Lepisosteus oculatus: one gene and its partners. The protein of the gene in region 3 purifies or fractionates together with the protein of the main gene of each other region. This does not show direct contact. Links are inferred from orthologs where the notes say so. Each region holds a gene or a part of one and is shown on either strand. Other genes may lie near its edges.

Evidence for each region. The genes of interacting proteins can lie anywhere in the genome.
Region 1: the proteins of lig3 (region 3) and tdp1 purify together in Homo sapiens (affinity purification with mass spectrometry; 4 studies listed by BioGRID and IntAct, with this or other methods). This does not show direct contact. The link is inferred for Lepisosteus oculatus from reciprocal best matches to the Homo sapiens genes LIG3 and TDP1.
Region 2: the proteins of lig3 (region 3) and parp1 purify together in Homo sapiens (affinity purification with mass spectrometry; 3 studies listed by BioGRID and IntAct, with this or other methods). This does not show direct contact. The link is inferred for Lepisosteus oculatus from reciprocal best matches to the Homo sapiens genes LIG3 and PARP1.

The regions. Positions count from the first base shown.
Region 1 is NC_090703.1:2,996,744-3,003,731, forward strand, and holds the start of tdp1 (tyrosyl-DNA phosphodiesterase 1), read left to right. Parts: upstream 1-3,980; 5' UTR 3,981-4,433; intron 4,434-5,207; 5' UTR 5,208-5,279; coding exon 5,280-5,829; intron 5,830-6,233; coding exon 6,234-6,277; intron 6,278-6,988. Other genes in the region: efcab11 (EF-hand calcium-binding domain-containing protein 11), read right to left, coding at 2,011-2,106, 3,753-3,827. UniProt on the Homo sapiens protein: DNA repair enzyme that can remove a variety of covalent adducts from DNA through hydrolysis of a 3'-phosphodiester bond, giving rise to DNA with a free 3' phosphate.
Region 2 is NC_090697.1:55,842,628-55,849,597, reverse strand, and holds the start of parp1 (poly [ADP-ribose] polymerase 1), read left to right. Parts: upstream 1-3,962; 5' UTR 3,963-4,080; coding exon 4,081-4,203; intron 4,204-6,970. UniProt on the Homo sapiens protein: Poly-ADP-ribosyltransferase that mediates poly-ADP-ribosylation of proteins and plays a key role in DNA repair.
Region 3 is NC_090721.1:1,741,539-1,749,262, forward strand, and holds the start of lig3 (DNA ligase 3), read right to left. Parts: upstream 3,001-7,724; 5' UTR 2,883-3,000; intron 1,990-2,882; 5' UTR 1,961-1,989; coding exon 1,420-1,960; intron 330-1,419; coding exon 231-329; intron 1-230. UniProt on the Homo sapiens protein: Isoform 3 functions as a heterodimer with DNA-repair protein XRCC1 in the nucleus and can correct defective DNA strand-break repair and sister chromatid exchange following treatment with ionizing radiation and alkylating agents.

The DNA.
Region 1 (6,988 bases), on a different chromosome or scaffold from region 3:
TTAACTGCCCACATATTGAGGGGCGAGGTGTGGTTAAACCACTACGTTAGCATTTACAAAACTAATGTTGCACAAACCAACAGCACAACGTGACTTAATTTAAAGTTGCAGACCACTCTTAACAAAAACACTATAGAATTCTATAACCGATATCGGTAAACTGCACTTCTATAAACACAAGGTCTACCCAAACTGGCAGCATCTTGCTTTCTTCAAATTCTTGCGTATGTTTAAATCTTGGCAGCTGTTATTTAAAGTTCTGTGGCCAATGTCAACTGAAATTATGGGTTTAGTACGGAGGCCCTGGGTCCACTTCCTGGGGAGCTTCCTGTGTGGAGTTTGCATGTTCACATGTTGGTTGCATGGGTTTTGTCCCACAGTCCAATGGCATACTAGTTAATTGGCCTCTGGGAAGACTGGCCCTGGTGCGAGTGTGTGTGCCCTGTGATGGACTGGCGTCCCATCCAGGCTGTATCCTGCCTTCGCCCGCTGCTCGCTGACATAGGCTCTGGGTCCCCACGACTCTGTATTGGATAAAGTGGTTAGAAAATGGAGGGATGTGCTGTTTTAGCCTTCTTCGGGCTACTAAAAATTAATTTCTGTTGAAAAATCTTCCATGATAATTAATTCATAGAACACTTTTAACCCCATAAGATCCCAAAATAGCATCCCCACTACACAGTAGATCAGATAGAGAAGTGAGAAACCGCTTCACCAGTTATCTGATTGGGAACCTCGGGAAGGTCAGACTGCACGAGCCCAGCATGGAATTTACTCAGGACACCGGCATCAACACCTCTACTCTTAATGAATAGCGTGATGACATTTTTAATAACAAAGTAGTCAAAGAGGCTTAATGTCTCATCTCAAAGATGGCACATCCCACAGTGCCATGTCACTACCCATTATACCAGGGCATTCGTGTGGAAATTCTCATCCAGTTGAAACAGCGTCACCTATTTTCCAGTAATTCCAATGACAGCAACAACCCAGTTTTCCTTGGAAGTCTCTCATCCAAGTCCTGACAAGTCCCTGCCTTGCTTAGCCTTGAACACGTGACAAGATCAGGCCGTGAGGTGGTAACGATGCTGGGCTTATTTGCCATTAGAAAGAACTTTAAAGTGACAAAAGCACAGCAATTCCCAAGAAGTCCCAGACGCAAAAATCTCTGTGTACATTTGGAAGATTATAAAGAAAATCTAATGGGGAGAATTACAACAGGTTTCTAGTTGGAACAAACGGATCTTCAGCACTTTAAACAACTCCCATGAAATCCAAACTGCCATTTCTTTGATCTAGGGTGAAAGCACCAGGTACAGATTTCCTTGCAGAATTGAAATATTACAAGAAATACTGACTGTCACATTAAAATTACATCCGTTTCTTGTCTTGTTTAATCTCATCACAAGTATCAAACGAGAAAAAAGCGACAGTGCCCTCTACTGCCTTAAGACAGCACAATGGGTGAAACAGAATAGTATGCAACACTGGCAAAGCAGAAAGCCTTTTTCCAATTTATTTTCAATTAATGCAAATACCTGAATCATTTATTAAAATAGATAATTGTTTAAATAGTTTTACACTTACACTCCCTATTGTTTTTGTAAGGCATGGATATTTGAGGAATTTGCCATGTTTGACACCAGCCATCCATCCATTTCCTAACCACTTCTTCCAATCCAGGGTCGCAGCGGAGCCAGAGCCAATCAATAACATAATGGGCACAGGGCAGGATACACGCTGGACGGGACGCTAGTCCATTGCAGGGCACACAATCACACTCAGGGCCACTTTCCCAGAAGGCAGAATGTCTTTGGCTTTTCTGTGACTTGTCGGCCTTCCATTCTAGCTTGAACATTTTTGGATCTTTGCGTCAAGACCAATGCAACTCATCTCGTTTAGAAGTAATCGGTCATGTCTGTAGACGGTCTTTGCAACCCAGTTTTCCAGTGGGCTTAAGAACAAGTACACTGATGGCAATCTGCAAGACCTGGACAATTGCAAGCTTACCTTTGATGGCTTGTAGCCAAATATCATGACTATGGCAATCTTCAGATCCTCTCTGTCTAAGTACCCTTTCTTGCTTTCATCACATTGCTGAAAAACCTGTGTTGACCAAAAGGATGAAATTAGTATCTACCCATCCTTTATTCTTAAAGCTTTAAGAAATTATGCCAGGCTGGGGTCATGGCAACCCAGAGCCTATCCTGGAGACAGCGGGCTCCAGGCAGGATTTCCCACTAGATGCCAGCCCTAGGACGCCCACAAGGGACGATTCGGAGATGCCAGTCAAGCTAAACGACCATGTTTTTGAGAGGTGGGAGGGAACTGGGCAGAACCCAAACAAATACAGGGAGAGTCAATTTTACGTAGAAGGCACCCCAGTCCAGGACTGGATTCAGAACCCACCCACTACACCTCCTGAACTACTAGCAGATGCTCCTATTTTGTTTCAATTGGCAAAAAGAAATGACTGACAGGTGCAGAGGCCACTCCCCATCCTGCACTATGGTGATGTGGGTTATACATCAGCGAGCGCCCCCTTCTGGCCCCACTAACACCTCTTCCAGCAGCAACCCTAGTTTTTCCCAGGAGGTCTCCCATCCAGGTACTGACCAGGCTCACACCTGCTTAGCGTCAGCGGGTTACCAGTTGTGAGTTGCAGGGTGATATGGCTGCTAGCCATAATAATATAGCACTTTCCTGGACACTCCACTGAAAGTGCTTTACAGGTAATGGGGATCCCCTCCACCACCACCACCAACGTGCAGCCCCACCTGGATGATGCGACGGCAGCCAGAGTGCGCCAGTACTCTCCCCACACACCAGCTCTCAGCGGGGATGAGAAGAAAGTGATAACGGCAGTCCAGAGATGGGGATTATTAGGGGGCCATGACTGGTAAAGGACAAGTTGGAAACTTAGCCAGGACACCGGGGTTACACCCCTACTATTTCCGAGAATGTGCAATTCTGTTATCTTGGGAAATGTACATTGATTATTATTTTTGTTATCAGCCACTATGTCGAACCAGGCAAGTCAGTTGAAACAGATTTTCACAATTTTCACAATGGTGACCTTGCCAAGAGGATAAGGCCAATACAGAAATTACTTGTTTTCTTTACTCTTTGGTTTTCTCTGTATACCAGACGAATACTTCTCTAGTTTCAGTTTAGTAGTTTTTGCCATGGAGGGTCAGGACCTCAGTTTTACAGCTCATCTGAAGGATATGACAGCTGTGAGCTGCAGGGTGATAAAGCTGCTGGCTATGAACCAGAAATTACTTGTTTTCTTTACTCTTTGGTTTTCTCTGTATACCAGACGAATACTTCTCTAGTTTCAGTTTAGTTGGAAAAACACCTTCCTGTATGCATAATTTATAACCGTAGTTCGTACTATCCTACTATTTAAGGGGGTAAACTGCAAACAAATTAAACCTCAACCAACTACTGCTTTGGGGCGCAAAATTAAGTCATTCCTACCCTGACATCAAAATCGTTCCCGACAGTTTTGTCAAATGATTTCTGAGTCACCGTTCAACCGTGTCTAACGTTACGTGGCTTCACCCGCTCGTTTTCCGCGCTGTATTGGCCTTATCCTCTTGGCAAGGTCACCATTGTGAAAATCTGTTTCAACTGACTTGCCTGGTTCGACATAGTGGCTGATAACAAAAATAATAATCAATGTACATTTCCCAAGATAACAGAATTGCACTGTGACAGTAAATATCATTCCAAGTTAAAATGGTTCTTACCGAGGTGAACTTCTTTATATCAGTTTCGGAAATTTTCGGTTCTTGCCTGCCAAGACTAGTTTTGTACGAAAACATTGCAAACTAAACTGTATTTACGGAAACCACATCAGTTTTTTAAAGAACCGCTTGGATACTGTAAGGTGACGCTTGATTGGTCCGTTCAGGTTGGCAGGTGTGCAATCCGGAACGTGATTGGCTCAGCCGGGCGGGCTTCCGTTTCTAGGGCGAAGTCGTCATCAAAATGTTTTGACTTTAAGTTTATGCTACGTCTCTCTTCATCTTAACGATTTATTAGAGTCCGTTTAATAAAAAGGCTATTTCCCATACCACTAAGTTCTAGTTTTTCGTCAAGCATGTCAATGCTATCGTGGCTTGTAACAGACGTTGCTAATGTTTGAAATTTTTGTCGTCCGGGGAACTAAAATGTTGTTGCACCATTTTTTCTGAACATAGGGGGTCGACAAAGCTTAATGGCGGGGGCGTTGTAGTTAAAATTAAAATACCTGCAGCCTTAAACAGTTCTGTTATTTGGAAATAATGGAATAAAGAAAGTTTTAGATATTTTATTGTTTTAGTAATACGTTTTCAACCACATTACTTTACCAACCATCATTTAATTCTAAACCCAGTTGTGAATTTCTCGTCTGGAAAAGCACCCTGCACCGTTTTATTGCCTTTTCAGTAAGTTTTTAAGTTTGTATTACACGGCGTCCATTTATAGTGAAGGTTTATAAAAAGTGAAAACTAGGAAGCCGGAAACGAACAAACAATTATGCAAAAGTGTATGTTAGGCTGTTTTACTAAATAGTTTGGAAAACAGACTGCTGGATGTTGTTGCTATTAGCAATGGTGCTACTATCAGTAGGTGCGTTCAGTATTGCTTGCAGTTTTTTTCGTGTAAAGTTGCACGATGTTATTGCATGCTTGCAGTCTCCATTGGAGAAACAGAACCCCTCTTCCGGACGCCGAAAGTCTGTTATGAATACAACCAATCTTATCTATGAGAGCTAACATTAAAAATCCCCTTATAACCTGGCATAACAACTCAAAAACAATCTCTTTCCGAGGATTAATACCGCTTCCTATCTTTTGAGATTGAACCTTCCGTATGTACGTCTTTAGTGTTTCCATTCTAACAAAAAGTTCAGGCGCGACCTAGATGTTACTCCTTAAGTTACATTTTATTTTAACGTTTACGATCCTTGCCTAATTTGTTACAGTACGTCTTTAGATGACGTTGATTTTCACCTGAGACAATTTTGTGCAGAAAACGAGGGCTGGAATTTCGGTGGCACCGACTGGTGAATAATAAGATATTTGCTTCACGTGGCGTTGCCTGGTTTACCATTTGTGTGGTGGCATTATTAAACGGAAGACCCACACTCTTTTAGTTATATGCTGGACCAAGGATAAACACAGACGCAGTCATGTGTTTTTTTCGTTGATTTGTTTCAGCACAAATAGGTCTTCTGTGTTGAATAAGGCAGATTTTGCTCCTATCCTGCGTTTATTTCACTTACCTCAGGGATGTCGCAGGAGAGCCAGCATGGAAAGTGGACTCTGTCCAGCAGCGATGAGGAAGACTCTGCCTTGGTACAGAGTAGGACTCAGTACTTCAGTTCAGACAACATCCGACAGACAGACCAGCTGCTTGAGGCGAAGGATGAGCTGGATTTATTCCCTTCGTCTCCTGGATCTGAAGCTGGACAAGCCTCTAGCCCGTGGGAACCCGTGAAAACTGAATCTCCAGGCGCGTCTGGGGAGATGTACCTCGCCCTCAAGAGGAAGACGGAGCCGGAGGACTCTGGCTGGGCCCTCTCAAGCAGTGATGAGGGGTCTGACTCTGAGCCAGAGAGCCAGAAACAAACCAAGACCTGTCTGCCCAGTCCCAAAAGGGTCAAGCTTGACAAGGAGAGCAGTGTGCCGGAGAGGGTGCCGTTAGCCTCACGTGAGCCAGAGGTGGATGAGACCTTGGACACCTGGGACGTGCTGCAAGGAAGTGAACCCTTCTGCTTTTACCTCACCAAAGTGACAGGCATAGAGAGGAAGTACAACGTGGGGGCTCTGAACATTAAAGGTAAACGCAGTGAGCCGGCGTGTTGCGGATTCAAGGGGTGGACGCATCAGGGCACGGGTCAGGGTCTGGGGGGCTCTCTGGGCCTCTTCAGAATAGCCAGCAGCTGCAGGTCCTTGAACACTTAAATTAGTCCAGTCTGCTCAATTAGGTCATGAGAAGAAAGGTGCAAGGAGAACCCATATATTCTGTGACTCCCCAAGATTGGAGCTGTGCATGAAATCATTTGTTTTGCTTTGCTTTTTTTGGGGGGAGGGTTCACATCTTGTCATCTACAATTGGAAATGGTGAGTGTACTGTAGGACCATATTGCTTCTGTATAGAAGGATGATTTTTGTCTTGTTTTGCCTGGAGGTTCACAGTGCTGAGCGATACTGAAGTAACTGGTTTCAATTGTTCTTTATCAGATATCCTCTCTCCTTTATTTGGGACGCTGAAGGAATCTGTTCAGGTGAGCAATTTCCTGAGTCCTGCGGGTATTCATGAAGTGCGAGAGATGAAGTGTCTGTCTTACTGTTCTGTTCATACATTTAGTTTTGTTCAATCATATGCGCGTTATGAATTTTATGAGTTATGAATATTTTTGCTCGCTGTCATTTAAAAAAAAGCACAGTTAAAACAATTAAAAATAATCACAGAGAACACACTGTCTACAGGATCAAGTGATCAAGATTGTAAGTGGCTGTACAATATTTTTTGACTGAGTGAGTTGATTTTTCTGTAGGACTTGGGGACTGTTGTGTGACAGTGAGAAACTATTGAAAGAGCTACACTGTGTTGTGAACAGCACACATGATTCTGTCCAGTGACAGTAGTTCAAAAATGACTTAGAAAACCATGAAACCAGCGTAGGTGGATGAATTTCTTAAGTTTGACATCTCCGTTCCAGGATGTATCTAGGCTGTGTTTCAGTTGCACTTGGGCACATTGGAGAGATCTTTTCAGTCACTAATTTCCACTCATTTTGAAAGACCTCTTTCCCAGTCCTTTTCAGCTCATCCTGGGTATTCCTGAAATTACTGTAAAAGGTGTGAAACCAATGAGCTACTGTTAAGTAATGGATCTTTTATTTAAAGTGTTAATACATTTGTGATAATGAAATTCCTGGGTGAAAGGTAAACAATTCATGGTTGTACACAGTTGGCACAAATAAAGTGAAGTG
Region 2 (6,970 bases), on a different chromosome or scaffold from region 3:
ACACACTTCATCTCCCTTTCTGAAATCAACACAAATCTAAACTAATAAGCAGTTACTCTCAAATGGTACATTTGACAAACCATTATGCTTAATATTATGAATCAAATATAATGTTGTACTTATTTTATGCAGTTAAATTGTAAGACACTTTGTCCTAAACTGTAAAATCCTCAAACTGTTCACATGCTAATTATTCTTAAACATTGATGATACATTGTAATGTAAAATATATGTATTAGAAATGTATTTCTTAACAATATTAATAACAAAGATTATTTTAAAGGATCAATTTATTTTATTTGTTTAATCGCAACTGCATAAAGTCATCGGTGCTGCCTCCTTTTGAAATCACTGTGCAATAAAACAGGCTGCAGTACAAAGATTTTATGACATGTCTACAAAGAATTCAAATGTAACAATCTGAGTTAAATTAAAATTAATAAAGAATGAAATGGCTAGAAGTGATGATTACATTTGCATAAATGGCTGTGGAATCAGTAGAGAATGGATAGATGCAAGTTAGAAATAGAGTCATAACCATAGGGTAAATTCACCCACAAAACAATCAGATCAATGTATGAAAGTAGGTATGTAAATAAAGAAAAATAACGGGAGAAATAAAGACCTAGAGTGGAGAAATGAGTAACATACAGTGTATGAATTAAAAAATAAAAGTGAGGTATAAAGTAAAGCAGGCATTAGAAATGCTAATAGAGCCAGAAAAGATTAATCCTTTTCACTACTATCACAAATTGGTAATAAAGGATTTTGTATTGAAGTTAAAAAGGTAATTTGGTGCTAAAGGTTTTACATTTAGACAGCACTGTATTGAATCCCATATTTCTTCTAATAGAAGAAGTAGGAAAATGAGAAATATGAATCATACGAGACTCAGGCAGATTCACTTGAAATAGCATAAAAAAGGAATTGCAGGATACTATTAACATCCATCCATTTTCAGACTGCTCCAAACGGGATACTTGCTGGACAGGAGTCCAGGCCATCTCAGGGCACACACAGACACAAAAACACACACACAATTACACCAGGGCCTGTTTTTCCATAAACCAACCTACCAGTATGTCTTTGGATTGTAGGAGGAAACCAGAAGTCCTGGAAAAAACCCACACAATTACACTTAGGGCACCCCAGAAACTGAACCCCACTGTCCAATTGTCCCAGTGTCCCAGTATCCAATCACACAAACAGCAATACTAACCACTGCACCACCAGGCTGCCCTACTATAAATAAATTTAAAAAGCTTAAAGAAACTGCAAAATCTACTGGTGTTTAATTTCCTTTTGGCCATTACCCAGATTGATGTAAATTATAATGCTATTTAAAATAATGCCTTTCATTGGTTTAATTCCGAAAACCTAATGAAAATACAATTATATCATAACTTTAGCCACAATTTTGTAGTAAAGTTAATCACAATTAAGACAATCTGAAAAGTTCTATTTACCACAATTCACATAAAGGCAATTACAGTCTCAAAGCGCTGATTCTCAAAGGCTTATCAGATTTACTCTTTTATATAGTTATTGACAGACGAAGTGCAACAAGTTTTAAATCAATATGACTCAATCATACTCAATCAATATAGAAAAATAACAATCAATTTAAAAAAAAGTTAAATTACCTTTGTCTTTATATAGAGACATAGATGTTTAAAATGTATTTTTAGCATATTGTAAATAATTAACCTGCATCCTTCATTCACTTCATTAATATTTTTCAAAAGTTATTGCCATTTCTCATGGCTTTATTTTGGCTTTTGAACGTCAGCTGCGATTGAAGCATCAGTGCTGATTTTTTGGATGTGAACTGCAGGACCTATTTTTATTCATCTTTTATATATGAGACATGACCCATGAGATGGAATCAGACTATTTCATGACCAGGGATGAAGACTCCAATTGCTTTATGTGAGCAGAGAAAATAATACTTATGTAAAACCCTTTGGTCCTATTCCATTAAGAACACATCAGAAAATGAGGCCATATGCTATGCTTCAATCCTAAGAATGAATATATGAATGTAAATTCAGTCTATGTTGTATTTTAATCAAATCAACTGGATGTTTTGCAGAATAGTGGGTATTTTTGTAATTGGCTTAGAATTCATTATTAGAATTTTGAAAACAAAGAAAAATAGCACTTCACAAACATCGCCACTAAATCCCTTTGCCTCTTCCACTTCTGATACCAATGTTTTTAAAAATAAATGTATTTAGGTGTATTTAAGCATTAACAACAACAACGAATACAAAACAAACAAAAGTACATATAACACTTGAAGACAAAAGCATTGTCAGGAGTACATATGGCAAAATAAATACAAATTATGAAAAAGGCTAAAACAAATTAAAGAAAAAGTCCGCACCGCTTTCATATTTTTACAATTTCAAATAGTCTGCAGATACTCCTTTACATCCATTTTAAAATGTTCAAACATATGATTCTTCCCAGGCCATTTAATTTTGTGTATATGATAACGTGCCATTATAATTAAGTTAATTAAACATTATTTTTTGTATTATTTCCGATGGGGCAAAATTTAACATAAAATCAATTTCTTCAAAGAAAATATCAATATTGGTCTCATTTTTAATGTAAGCTTGCCAGTCCAGAAAGTTTTTACCATGGGACGTAACCAAAATAAATGTTGCAATAGTTTCAGGGCTATTGTCACAAAAAAACACATTTATCATCTATATTAATTTTAAATCACTGGACAACAAGGGTCTTAACTGAGTAAATTCGATGAATTATTTAGTACGAAACCTCCTTAACCTTATAAGTTATACAATATTTATTGGGCATCATCCATTTTTTTTCCAATCAACCCATTTTACAAATAAGGAATTCAAATATACTGTAACAGGGAGGATATTATCATCTTGCAACAGAGATCTTAAAATGTATTACATCCACAACTCAATATTTCCCTTCCTTTTAGTCTGATGCAAGCTGTAAATTCTTCCAATGTTTCTAATGGACTACTATTGCAACTCCTTAAAAGAGTCAATATTTCCCTAGGAATCGCGTTAGAGTGAAATATTGATAAGAATTAATAGAAATTTTATATCTATTAACAAACTCAGTGTAATTATATTGTTCAGGTGGGTAGCTGCGTCAGCATGAGTAGGCTGCAAAGGAACAAGCAATAGGTTTATTCCATGCTGAAAAAAGAAGAAAGAAAACAACGTTTCGGCCATGGAGCCTTCTTCAGGTGTGTGCTTTCAGGGCTGCTTTCAGAAAGGTCACAGTTAGCATCTGTATTGATTTTCAATCTCTGCAGGGTCTTTCTGATTCATACAAAATAATTAATCTAATTTACCCAGTTAAAAACCTTGAAGTCCAGTGATTTAAAATTAAGTGTGCTCACACCTGAAGAAGGCTCCACGGCCTAAACGTTGTGTTTTCTTTTTTTCAGCATGGAATAAACCAATTGTAATTATATTGTAACAACCGCGGGCTTAGGTACGGAATGGAGCAGGCATAGGCCTCTGGGAATGAGGCTGAAAAACACATTTAATAACTCGATCCGGAGATGGCCATGGCCATGGAGTCACAGTACCACACCTACACACACACACCCGAAAGGAAGAGACCGTCTCCCAGCCTCAATCCCTCTATATACAGTCCCGTAGTCCCGCCCCCAGGTGCTGTTCTCAGCCCGCCTTGCGGGCGCATGGCTAAAGCGTCCCTCGTGGCGCTACAATATATTTCACCCTCAGCATTGATAAATTGTTTAACCCAAATTATACCATTTTTGACCCAATTTTCAATGATCAAGGTTTTATTTTTAATTTATATATATATATCTGTTATTCAAAATGGTAAATCTATTAGGGGACTGCCGATACCAACGTTAAAACGTTACATTGCTCAATCATTGCATTGTGCTCGATGTTTTCTGCCTTATCCATGCAACTTTTCTTAGGCTCATCATTTGATTCGTTGAGTCTGCGCTTGAGAGCTAAGGCGGTTTGGCTCCACGCGGGTCATACATTGTGATCTGTGATTGTTACAGCTCAGTAAAAATACAGCTGCAAAATTTAATAAGCGGGCGATATGGCGGATTCACAAGAGGAGAAGCTGTACAAAGCCGAATACGCTAAAAGTGGTCGAGCTTCTTGCAAGAAATGCAAAGACAATATCGCAAAAGATTCTCTCCGGATGGCTATAATGGTGCAGGTAAAGCACGTAATTTGCATTCTTTGATATGAGGAAGAAAGAAGTTTGTTTATATGTAGTTCATGCATATATTAACGCAGCAAAGAACCATCAGAGTGAAAAAATACATTCGATCCTGTGATAATTCGATGGAGTATGCATCATTAACTGATAGGCCGTACTTGGGATTTATTTACATTGCAACTCAAGTGATGGAGTAAACGGTGTCTGCGTTTGAGACCAACCATGTTTCTTGAAACATTCCCTCTTGGTGCACGATTGGTGCATAAAGCACAAGGTTTTATAGTCTGTTTTCAAACGTCTCGAAATTGAAATTGAACTATTGTAATGTTTAAAAAGCATTGATTGTAAAAATAGGTCATGTTATTCGGTTTCAAGCATGCATGAGATGATGAGTATGTAGTAAGCAGTGTTTTCGTGAATAGTTTCCCTTACATTTAGCAACCATTATCAATAGTATAAATTTGTACTTTTTAGTAACTTTATTTTGAATCCGTAAACGAAGTAACAAGATAAACAACTGTTTTGATTTCATTAATGATGCAGTACCAGCTCATACAGTACATTATCAGTAATCATTTTCACTTAATTAATGTCCCTTTTAACTCAGATATTGTACTGTTTTTACAAATGTTGTGTTACAGCCAAGGAAAATACTTTATTCACATGTTGTACAGAATCCACAGAATCGATGCAGTATGTAATTTCGTTTTCCAGACCGTTGTGTGCTGAGGTTGTACAGCAAGAAGAATCAAAATAATATCTTAAATGAGGCCCACTGATTTGTTTTGACTCAAGCGCAATGTATTGATAATCGGAGTAAGTGATCGGTGATGTGACGGGATGTAATAGCCCTTGCTATGGAGTGTGATGATCATCTTCATTTTTCTGTAGCGGTAATGTTACTCTTATGGCTGCAGACCAAAGCTTGTGATTTAACTTCTGGATATTTAGTGTTTTGGATTCGAGTACAGGAAGTACAAGAAAAATTGCACCCTCAAACTCTTAGTTAACGAAAAACATCTTCATCTGTAGCTTTTCCGGTTGTTTAATCTACGTCCCAAACATTGCAGTGAAACTTCTTTGTAGTTAATGTTATCGTAAATGAGTAGTTTTATAAATGTGATTACAAATCCGACACGTTTAAATCGTTTTTTGATCGTTTTTTAAATTTGTGATGTCTGAGTTTTGTTAAAGAGGGAGTCCTGAAGGACACAAAGCAGGCTCTTTCTGTATATTCGCTGACATTACAGCGATCTTTTAACTTATTAATGTGATATCAGCGTTAAAATAGACATTTCTTTGTTTCATACCCTTGTTTAGGGTATGTAAAGAAACATTACAACAATACTGCCGATATTGATGTGATGCTATCAAAAGCAATCTGATCTCCATAATATGGAAAATAAAATGGAGTATTGAAACACTTGAACAACCCCACCCCCAAGAAACCTTAATATAGCTTCTATGTTGGTCTCTTGATTGCCCTGCACCACCCTTTTATGTGATTTAGGGGTAACACTTGACAAATGATACATGCCTTTCTGCAGGACCATAATGCTTCCAAAATGTCAGGTTTCAGCATTTTTTGACTGGAGGGTGACCCCTGTAGCTTACGAGGCACACGTAAACCTACAGTGTTGTGCAGAGCTGCAATCCTCTATCACAGTGGTTCTCAAACCTTTTGGACCAAGTACCACTCCTGATGAAAGCAAAGCAAAAGCAAAGTACCACCTACAAGTCATCTTCTCATAGGAACCACAGAAAACCTCAATGACCAACATGAGTGCGTGCACACACACATATAATAAAAATAGCACTGAGCACTTACCATTTAAACAGGGGTGAGCCTGTTTAATCAAGCAAAGCCTTGCAATGTCAGGGAAGAGGGCAGTGAGCTTCGAATGCAGATAATAATAATAATAATAATTGCTTACACTTTATATAGCGCTTTTCTGGACACTCCACTTTTCTGGGACTCCCCTCCACCACCACCAATGTGCAGCATCCACCTGGATGATGCGACGGTAGCCATAGTGTGCCAGAACGCTCACCACACATCAGCTATCAGTGGGGAGGAGAGCAGAGTAATGAAGCCAATTCATAGAGGAGGATTGTTAGGAGGCCATGATTGATAAAGGCCGATGGGAAATTTGGCCAGGACGCCGGGGTTACACCCCTACTCTTTTCGAGAAACGCCCTGGGATTTTTAATGACCACAGACAGTCAGGACCTCGGTTTTACGTCTCATCCGAAGGACGGCGCCTGTTTACAGTATAGTGTATAGTGTCCCCCTGCTGGCCCCACTAACACCTCTTCCAGCAGCAACCTTAGTAGCGAAGGCATCAAAAACCACACAGCTAATGAGAGGGCTGGGTATTCACTCTGTCTTTGGATCCAGAAATCCTACAGTGACTGGTGTTTCAATTCTGACATCAAAGTCGCATCAGATGATAACTCGAGCAACTACTCTTGTTCAGCACAGGTGAGATCTTTGGGTATTCCTATGACATCAACAGTAAAGGCATTCCTGAGCCACTCTGGTGTGGCCTCAACTGGAAAATACTCTGAAAACTGTTTTTCCAATGACAAGAGGTGCACTGCAATCACATCACATCACAAACAGCAGCATCAGGTGCCCCACTATATGTGTGCAGATAGTTCTCCAAAGTTGGGAAAGCACAGACATTACTTTGTTTTATTAACAAAAAGCTGCAGCTTTTTCGGCATGGCAGTGATCTTGTCAGACAAGTCAAAAATTGTTAAA
Region 3 (7,724 bases):
TTTATTAACTGGAAATACTCCCGCGATGTCACGTGATCTTTTAGTGGATCATTTTGCCTGTTCTCTTTACTTCAGTTTACACATCAACTGATTAAAACTGTGCTCTAAAAAAGGTTGACTTAGGCAGATTGGAGAAACTTTGACTATTTCTTCCTGCTGCTCGTGGCTTTCAGTTGGCTACAGTACAGGACAGGAAAGAGCAAACTGTGACAATGGCAGCACCTTCTTACCAGTGAATCCAGAGAACTTGCGTGGCGTCACAGGGGACAGGTCAGCCAGGCCAGTCTGAACCTTCTTCTTAGGGCTGTGGTTAGTCTTCGCAGCCAGATCTAGCCAAGCAACCACACACAAAAAACAGTGTCCTGTTAGTTTGTACCCTGCCCCTTTAAGAAATACATTTTTAATTACGCATAGCAACATAAGAGTTACAATAAATCCCAATTTCAAAATTCCTAAAGAATAAGTGGACAATACATAACAGAAAGATATGTTTCCAGATTAATTTTAATAAACATTCTCATGGTAAAATCTGTGAGAATGATTCATGAATAAGTGTTTTGCCTGCTGTCTTCTTAAGCATTATCCATCTCAAGAATTAATGGTTCCCAACTTTTTTTCTTTTTCAGTCATATAAAAGCACACTGGTTCCCAATCTTGGTCCTGAAGGGTCGGTGTGTCTATAGGTTTTCACTACAGCTGAGCTCATAATAACCTAAATCAGAAGATTCTTGTCTTTATTAGACCAGTTTAGCATCTTCTCCTGGCTCTTCAGCTGCTGCTCTAAGGCTGTGGTTCCCAGTCTTGGTCCTGGAGGAACACTATATGATCCTATATGTCAGTCCAGCTGAGCTCTCAAATGTTAAATGCTGACTTATTCTTGCTTGTTTTTACTTGTTTAGGTCAGTCCTGAGTGTCAAGGGTACTGTATCATCATATAGAACTTACACACATAACCTTTCCTTTATCTTAGAGTAAACAGCTCTTACAAATTCATCACCCGGCAATGAACAGACTTAGGTAGGAGTGGCACTGTATCAGACACACCCACAGGTGGGAGTGGCACTGTATCAGACACACATAAATTAAGATTTTGCAGATGTCCAATTGGTTACATTCCAGGCCAATACCAATTGTAAATCCCATTGGTCCTTCTAAGAGCTGAGAGGAAATGTTTCTAACACGAACCATTAGAAAACTGAAATCAATTAGCCGGTGCTTAATAACTCAACTACAAGAAGGAAAACAGACGAGACAGTGTTTCTCCAGGGCCAGCATTGGGAATCACGGCTCTGAAGAGACTTGGGCAACCCGCGGTCCAGAATCAGGACCAGCAGGACTGGGGAGCCAGTGTCATGGATTCAGAACTCCCATTCCCACATTGACTAACTGAAACAGAAGCACCCCCCCCCCCCCCTCCACCTGCAATGTGCTTGTTGATGAGCTCCTTATCCTCATCCTGCACCTCCTCCCAGCCCTCCAGGTCCGTTATGTCCTCGATCCTCCGGGTGGTGATCCGGGCGCGCTCCAGCTTCTCGAACATGCACTTGACGTGGTACCACTCCTTCATGTCGCCCGCGGACTCGCTGAAGGGGTTGGGCACGATCTTGCCGATGCGCACCAGCCCCTTGACGATCTTCTCCTTGCACTTCTTGCAGCCGGCTGTGCCGCGCTTGGCGTACTCCACGCAGTACCGTTGCTCGGGCATGGCCTCGCGCTCGCCGCCGCCGCCACACGGGGACCAGGACAGGTGGAAAGCTCGAGACGCTGGGGTCCGGGCACAGGCGTGCCAAGGCTTGCCGAGGAAGGCCTGGGACCGGGAGCTATAGGCCGCACACGTGGCACTCCGGTGGAAGTTGAAGGACTGAACGGATTCGCTGGCAGAAGCCTGATTCTGGAAGAGTTTGAGCAGCAGTGTGCTGAAAAGTGCTCTGCTTGTTTGGTGGGTGCAGAGTTTAAGCATGAAGCATACCTAGCTCATCACTTTAACACCTGAGGGGGAAGAAAGCATGGAGAATCAGCAGACAGACGAAGATGAGTCGATAAACGCCTTTCACAGAAAAGTGAGCAATGGAGAACTTCTCCTGGAGCTTTTTCCAGGTCGCGCCATAGCGGATTCGATTACTAGTTTTTTTTCTGTCTTTATCAAGAAAAGTGCCCAGAAAACAACGCTTTTCCTTCATGAGTTTAGTTTCAGCGTGAGCCTGGGCTTTTTGACCGAAGTTGTGAATTGGGTGCAGTTGATTAAAAAAAAACTCGGCAAAGTCCCCTTAAATGCAGCTGCTATTCTACAAAATATCTTGTGCCAAAAGAAATCGGTTCCGCGAGAACAGATGTTTTTTTTTCTCATTAAGCAACATTCTAACAGAAGGCAGCCTGTTTCCTTAATCTCTGTATGACTACAATGTTGCACCATGCAGGATAGTCTTAAATTATGATATTATACTGTACCAGGCAAATGAAGATATTCTAAGATTATCACCCTTCATGGCTGATAATCATAAACACTTTACGTGGTTTCAAGCTGAAATAGTTATGTCATCAACATTTTTGTCCACTCTATTCGGCTTTTAAATTAAAAAATAAAATTCGTAGTGCAAAGCACACTTTCTTCAACTTGACCGATTTTAGTATTGTGTGAAAACACAAAAATGGCTTAACTAAAGAGCAGATAGATTATAGATGGCCTTAATTTCCCACCACTTCGAGTTTGCTGTTTGCTGTAACGCACAAGTTCCCAGTAAAATGTCTTTCGCTTTTAGAATCCACTGTGCCGTGCTCGACCACAGCTAAAACAGACATTTTAATTTCCCAACGCCACGGAAAAAATCAGGAACCTTATGTAAAATGCACTTTACAATAAAAATGCTTAAGACCATGCTTACCGGTGTTATTCGTTTGTTACAGATGTGTTTGTGCTATTTTTGTACTTATCATTTTCTCCACTGTAGTGTGTTATTTTCAATGTGAGGTTTCCCCTTTAAACACCAGCCACGTTCCCCTTTTGTTTCCTGTCATATCCCACAGTGCGCATGTGCGACAGTTAAAAGTTTTATGCCGACAGAAATTCAGGTGTAAGCCGTGCCGGGGTATATCTTTAAAAATAACTGTAAAGCTATTAAACAGTGAACTATAAGTTTTGTTTCTTTAATTATTACTACACTGTCGCAAAGCTGCTGTAATTATGACTGCCATAGTTACAGCATACAGCGAATATAACATAAGAAGGTTTATAATCGAAATGGGGCTATTTATCTAGGCTAGCTCATGTGATTACGGGTAGGTCATTGATCAAAGGATCATTCAGGCTTTTTTTGAAAGAAGCTAGCCGCAATGTGTTTAAGCAGTTTACTCCAGATCCTCCCAGATATCTGTGTAAAGGTCTGAGACTTGTTTTTTTATGAAAGCCTTTTTTCAGGTTTGGTCGGCGGTGAGGTTTCAATATTCGCCTTGTCCTCTAGATGGAAGCATCGCTCTTTCACTGGAGATCTGTTTTGTCATAAGACTCCACAAAAGCACGCTTCTTCATGATCCAAAAAAGAAACTGGCATTGTATTTCTTTTCTACATGCACCCCACCATCACACAACCAAACAGTGACTGTCTATTGCCTTTTCCAATGTGATTGGACCCAAGAGACTGAAGAACTGGCTAAGCCCACATTGAAGAAAGCATGTGCCCTAAACGTAGAAAAAGAAACCAAGCTTCAAGAAGCCAGTCAGACGATACCTCCGATATCCATCCATCTGAAATCCTGACTGAGGGCATTATCTTCCCCACTCCTTTATACAGAAGCCCTCGATTTATTTTGCCCCAGGAAGACTTCTGTTATGGGGCTTTTTTTCTGCACCATGGACTCTTAAGTTACAGATCAGATATAAAAACTTTTATTGTTTCCTAACAGTATTAAATGTCAGTGCTTTCATTTGGCAACAGTATATCTGCTTCTGTTACATTGCAATGAGGGAAATATCAGAAAGTGAGGATTTATCACCGAAGTCCTTGTAGAAAAGCTAAGCCAGGTTCGTTACCTGTCATTCCTCATCTCAAGAAGCAGAGAATGTTACTATACGTAACACACCAGGCCATGGTATGTATTCATATGCTACACAGAGAGAAAAAAATCCAGGGTTACAGGTAACAATTAACACCTAAAGCTGCAGTCTGTTTTCTGGAAATTACTTGTGGGGGGACTGAACATAAGCAAGTTATTAGGTCTTATTTGAGTTTGGAACAACAAGGCCTTTTCTAGTGCACTGCACGCCCTCTGGTGTTCAGCAAGGAGTTTTGCTGCCACCTGCCACAATTCTTCAACAGTCGCTCAGGAAATGTAATGACAAAGGGCTCAATTCACAGATGATAGCATGTGCATCAGTTGATATATGGGGATTTAACAATTCAAATGCTAGTCTAATTGAATTTATTATTTTTTGGAGATACGCAATAGCTTGCCATCGGGATAACTCCTTTCTTCATCCTATCTACTGTATCTTTATGTCAGGTCAGATTAAAGTAGAAGATCAATCAGGTCACTGATAGCCTGTCTCGCTTCACATAGACAAGCAATTAAATTTTGGTTTAGAGGGAGACGTTTTCAAAAAGGTTTTTTTCTGAGCTCCCTGGTTTCCTCCCACCTCCTAGAGATTCATTTATGTCTTTGATTTATCTGTGTATGAATGAGTGTCTCCGGGCAAGTGCCCTATACTTGCAGAAAAGACTCTGGGCATTACCAGGAATAAGTGGCTTTCTTATGATGTGGGAAGGAACCTTTTAAATGATATATTTATGTGCAGAAACTGAAAAAAAAAACGTCATAATTTTGCTATTGTTACAGATAGGGGGTATAGATAATAGAAAGTGGGCAATAAAATAATTAAAATAAAATACATTAACACAAGGAGTACGCAGTTGTGGCACATGAGTTTTGGCACATGCTTTGTTTATTCTCTGGCACAGTCCTGGTGAAAGAGCAATTAATCCATTTGCAGAGAACTGCAAACGTTTTTCTGAGATGTGAACTTTCAAGATGTGAGTGGCTAACAGATATCACAACCACTGTAACAGGATGCATCTCAGAGGAACACTTTTTTTTCAGTCACCTACCTGAAGTACCTGAACTTGACTTGACTAGATTCATATTTTTCTCACGTTTACAAGTAACTCCTTCAAGGAAAAATTCCAGAAATAAGTTTACCGAAGACACAAAAGGCGAATTGATTTTGACCATGTCTCACTTTCACTCTCCTCTCTTTGAAGGAAGTGAAAAGACTGTGATACATTTCCAAACTCAATTAGAGAGCCTGCCAATGAGGTAGTGGTCCCACGAGGTGGGGAAACTTAATTAAGTAACCTGGCATTCAATGGTTGCTGCTCCACGATTAACAGTTAAACACAAGAAAATGAAGTCTTGCAGTTGTTTGAGCCCCATTACTTGAAGAAACGTGACTCCAAAAGCCCTCACACGGCAAATTGAAGCCAGATTTGATTTGGAAATCTGTCAAAGTGCCCAGGACACAGATCACTTTCCCAGGCACAAGAGCAATATTCTTTTCTTTGCTCGTAAAGTTCTTTGTTTTATTTTGCAGCATTAATTAAAGAGGTTAAAATACCACTTCATCTACATCACTGATCACTTTCAGTGCTTCTTTGCACTCATAAAATACAAGCTGAACTAATTGTTCAAAGGTACAGAAAACTTGCAGTGCTGGGAGAGTTGTTTCAGCTTCTTTCTCTGTTAGTAAACACTGTATGTTCTAGGTGCTTCTGCTCCCAGGAGACGTAAGAAAAAGCAGTAGTCGTGTGTTTGTGTGGGTTTCCTCCTGCTGTCCAATGGTGTATTTGGAAGTTAATTGGCTTCTATGAAATTGGCCTTGGTGTGAGTGTGAGTGTTTGTGTCTGTGTGTGTGTGTCCCCTGCAATGGACTGGCAGACCACCCAGGGTGTATCTCATCTTGTGCCTGTTGCTTGTCAGGTCTGGTTCTGTCTCCCTCATGGCCCTGTATTGTACTGTGGTTCGAACATGGATAGATGGTTTAGTAATGAGCTTCACCTTATACTACAGGATATGCTGTGTGGCCCTGTAGATGAAAGAAGAGAGAGAATTTTCAGTATGACTTTTAAAGGTTATGAACAGCTGCAGTAGTGCGCCAGTTCTATTACATTTGTACATGTACAGTATTCTTTTTCTCATATTCTGTGCTCTTTGTAGCTTGCAGCCCTGGACAATTGTCCTAACTATCTTTGATGGCTCTAATCCTAACCCTGTTCTCCCCACACACAATGGGTGGCTATGTACAGTAAGTAATTCATTTTAATGATCCATTCTCCAAATGTCATCTCAAGTCAGATGAAGACAGATGTAATAATTGAGCAAGTGACAGGGTTGCTATGTAAATGACTAATTAATTTAATGACCAGCTCTGCTGATAAGGCCTAGAGTAAAAATAGAATCTGTCTCTCCAGTACCATTAAGAATTCTACTCAAAGACCTTGGTGTGAGCCCTTCATTTCAACAAATAGAGCAACAGAAAGCAGGAGGAGAAGCAAACACTTATGATAAAAAGAAAATATGTCAGTTATGATCTGCAGCAGCCCTACAGAACATCCCCTTGCTTTAAAAATAGTTTTGGGGGTTGCTGTTCAAATACAAATCTTTGAGTTGTGCAGGTTTACAGACTTCATTTGATTATTCAATAGACACACACTTAGGCAAAATATATTAATATATTAATTCACAGTGCTGTAGTGACTGGTTTTGTCACACAAGTTCACTACTAGAGAAAAAACAGACTTATGAAAAGTGGTCTTTAGTCCCTTTAAGTCCATTTTAATTCAAAATGTTTGAAAGCTACAGTGAACAATGTTGTTTAGTGAGCCAATCCTGTTGCCCCAAACAACAATTCTCTTTATCTGCAAATATATTTTTTTTCTAATTTTTAAGATAAGAAAAATTAAATTTCCTAGAGAGCCACTCTCCTGGAGTGTATTAATAAATAATACTCATTGGAACATTACACTCACCTGGTAAGTCTCTGAATAATGAACATGTTGGCTTTCCTAATTCATTTGGCCGTAAGGCGGATGCACATATCTCTGTTTTCAGCTGACAGAAATAAATATTGCATCATTGTTATTGCCCTCAATTGCCGCCCACCAAAATGTCAAGGCATTTAATCTGAAATTTTTTGTGCTGCCTCTGTCTCTTTTTTTCTCTCCCGCCATTGATCAACAGCAGTGACTCAGTGAAGAATCTGGTGGAGGCTTTCCAAAAACCAGCGTCTGAAAATTGGAATGAAGCTCTGGCGCCACAAGGTTGTATTTAAATCGTTTGATTTCCAATTTAGCACACCTGGCATCCACAGAGCCCCCCCGAGACTCCGTCCTGCTGATTAACTCTGTGATGAGCCGCTGTGGCAACAAGCAATCTCCTCACTTTCTTCGCTGTCTTGCAGAATTTACTGCTGCTCTGGGGCCGGGCTGAGGCAGGCAGGTCTTGAAAGTGCAGCCTGCAAAGGTTTTCAAAGCCAGCCAAATGTAAAACCTAGGAAAATGGTCACCTAACAAGACAAAATGCATTAAATCACAGTATTAATATTGCTGTTATATACTTATAAACTTTCCCCTCCATCAGGTGATGGAGAACCTTTTTCCCATTCCTTTTTGGAAGGTTATTCTTGTTTTCAACAATTTTTTTTCACTGCAACGTTCACTATCCCCCATGGCACCCTG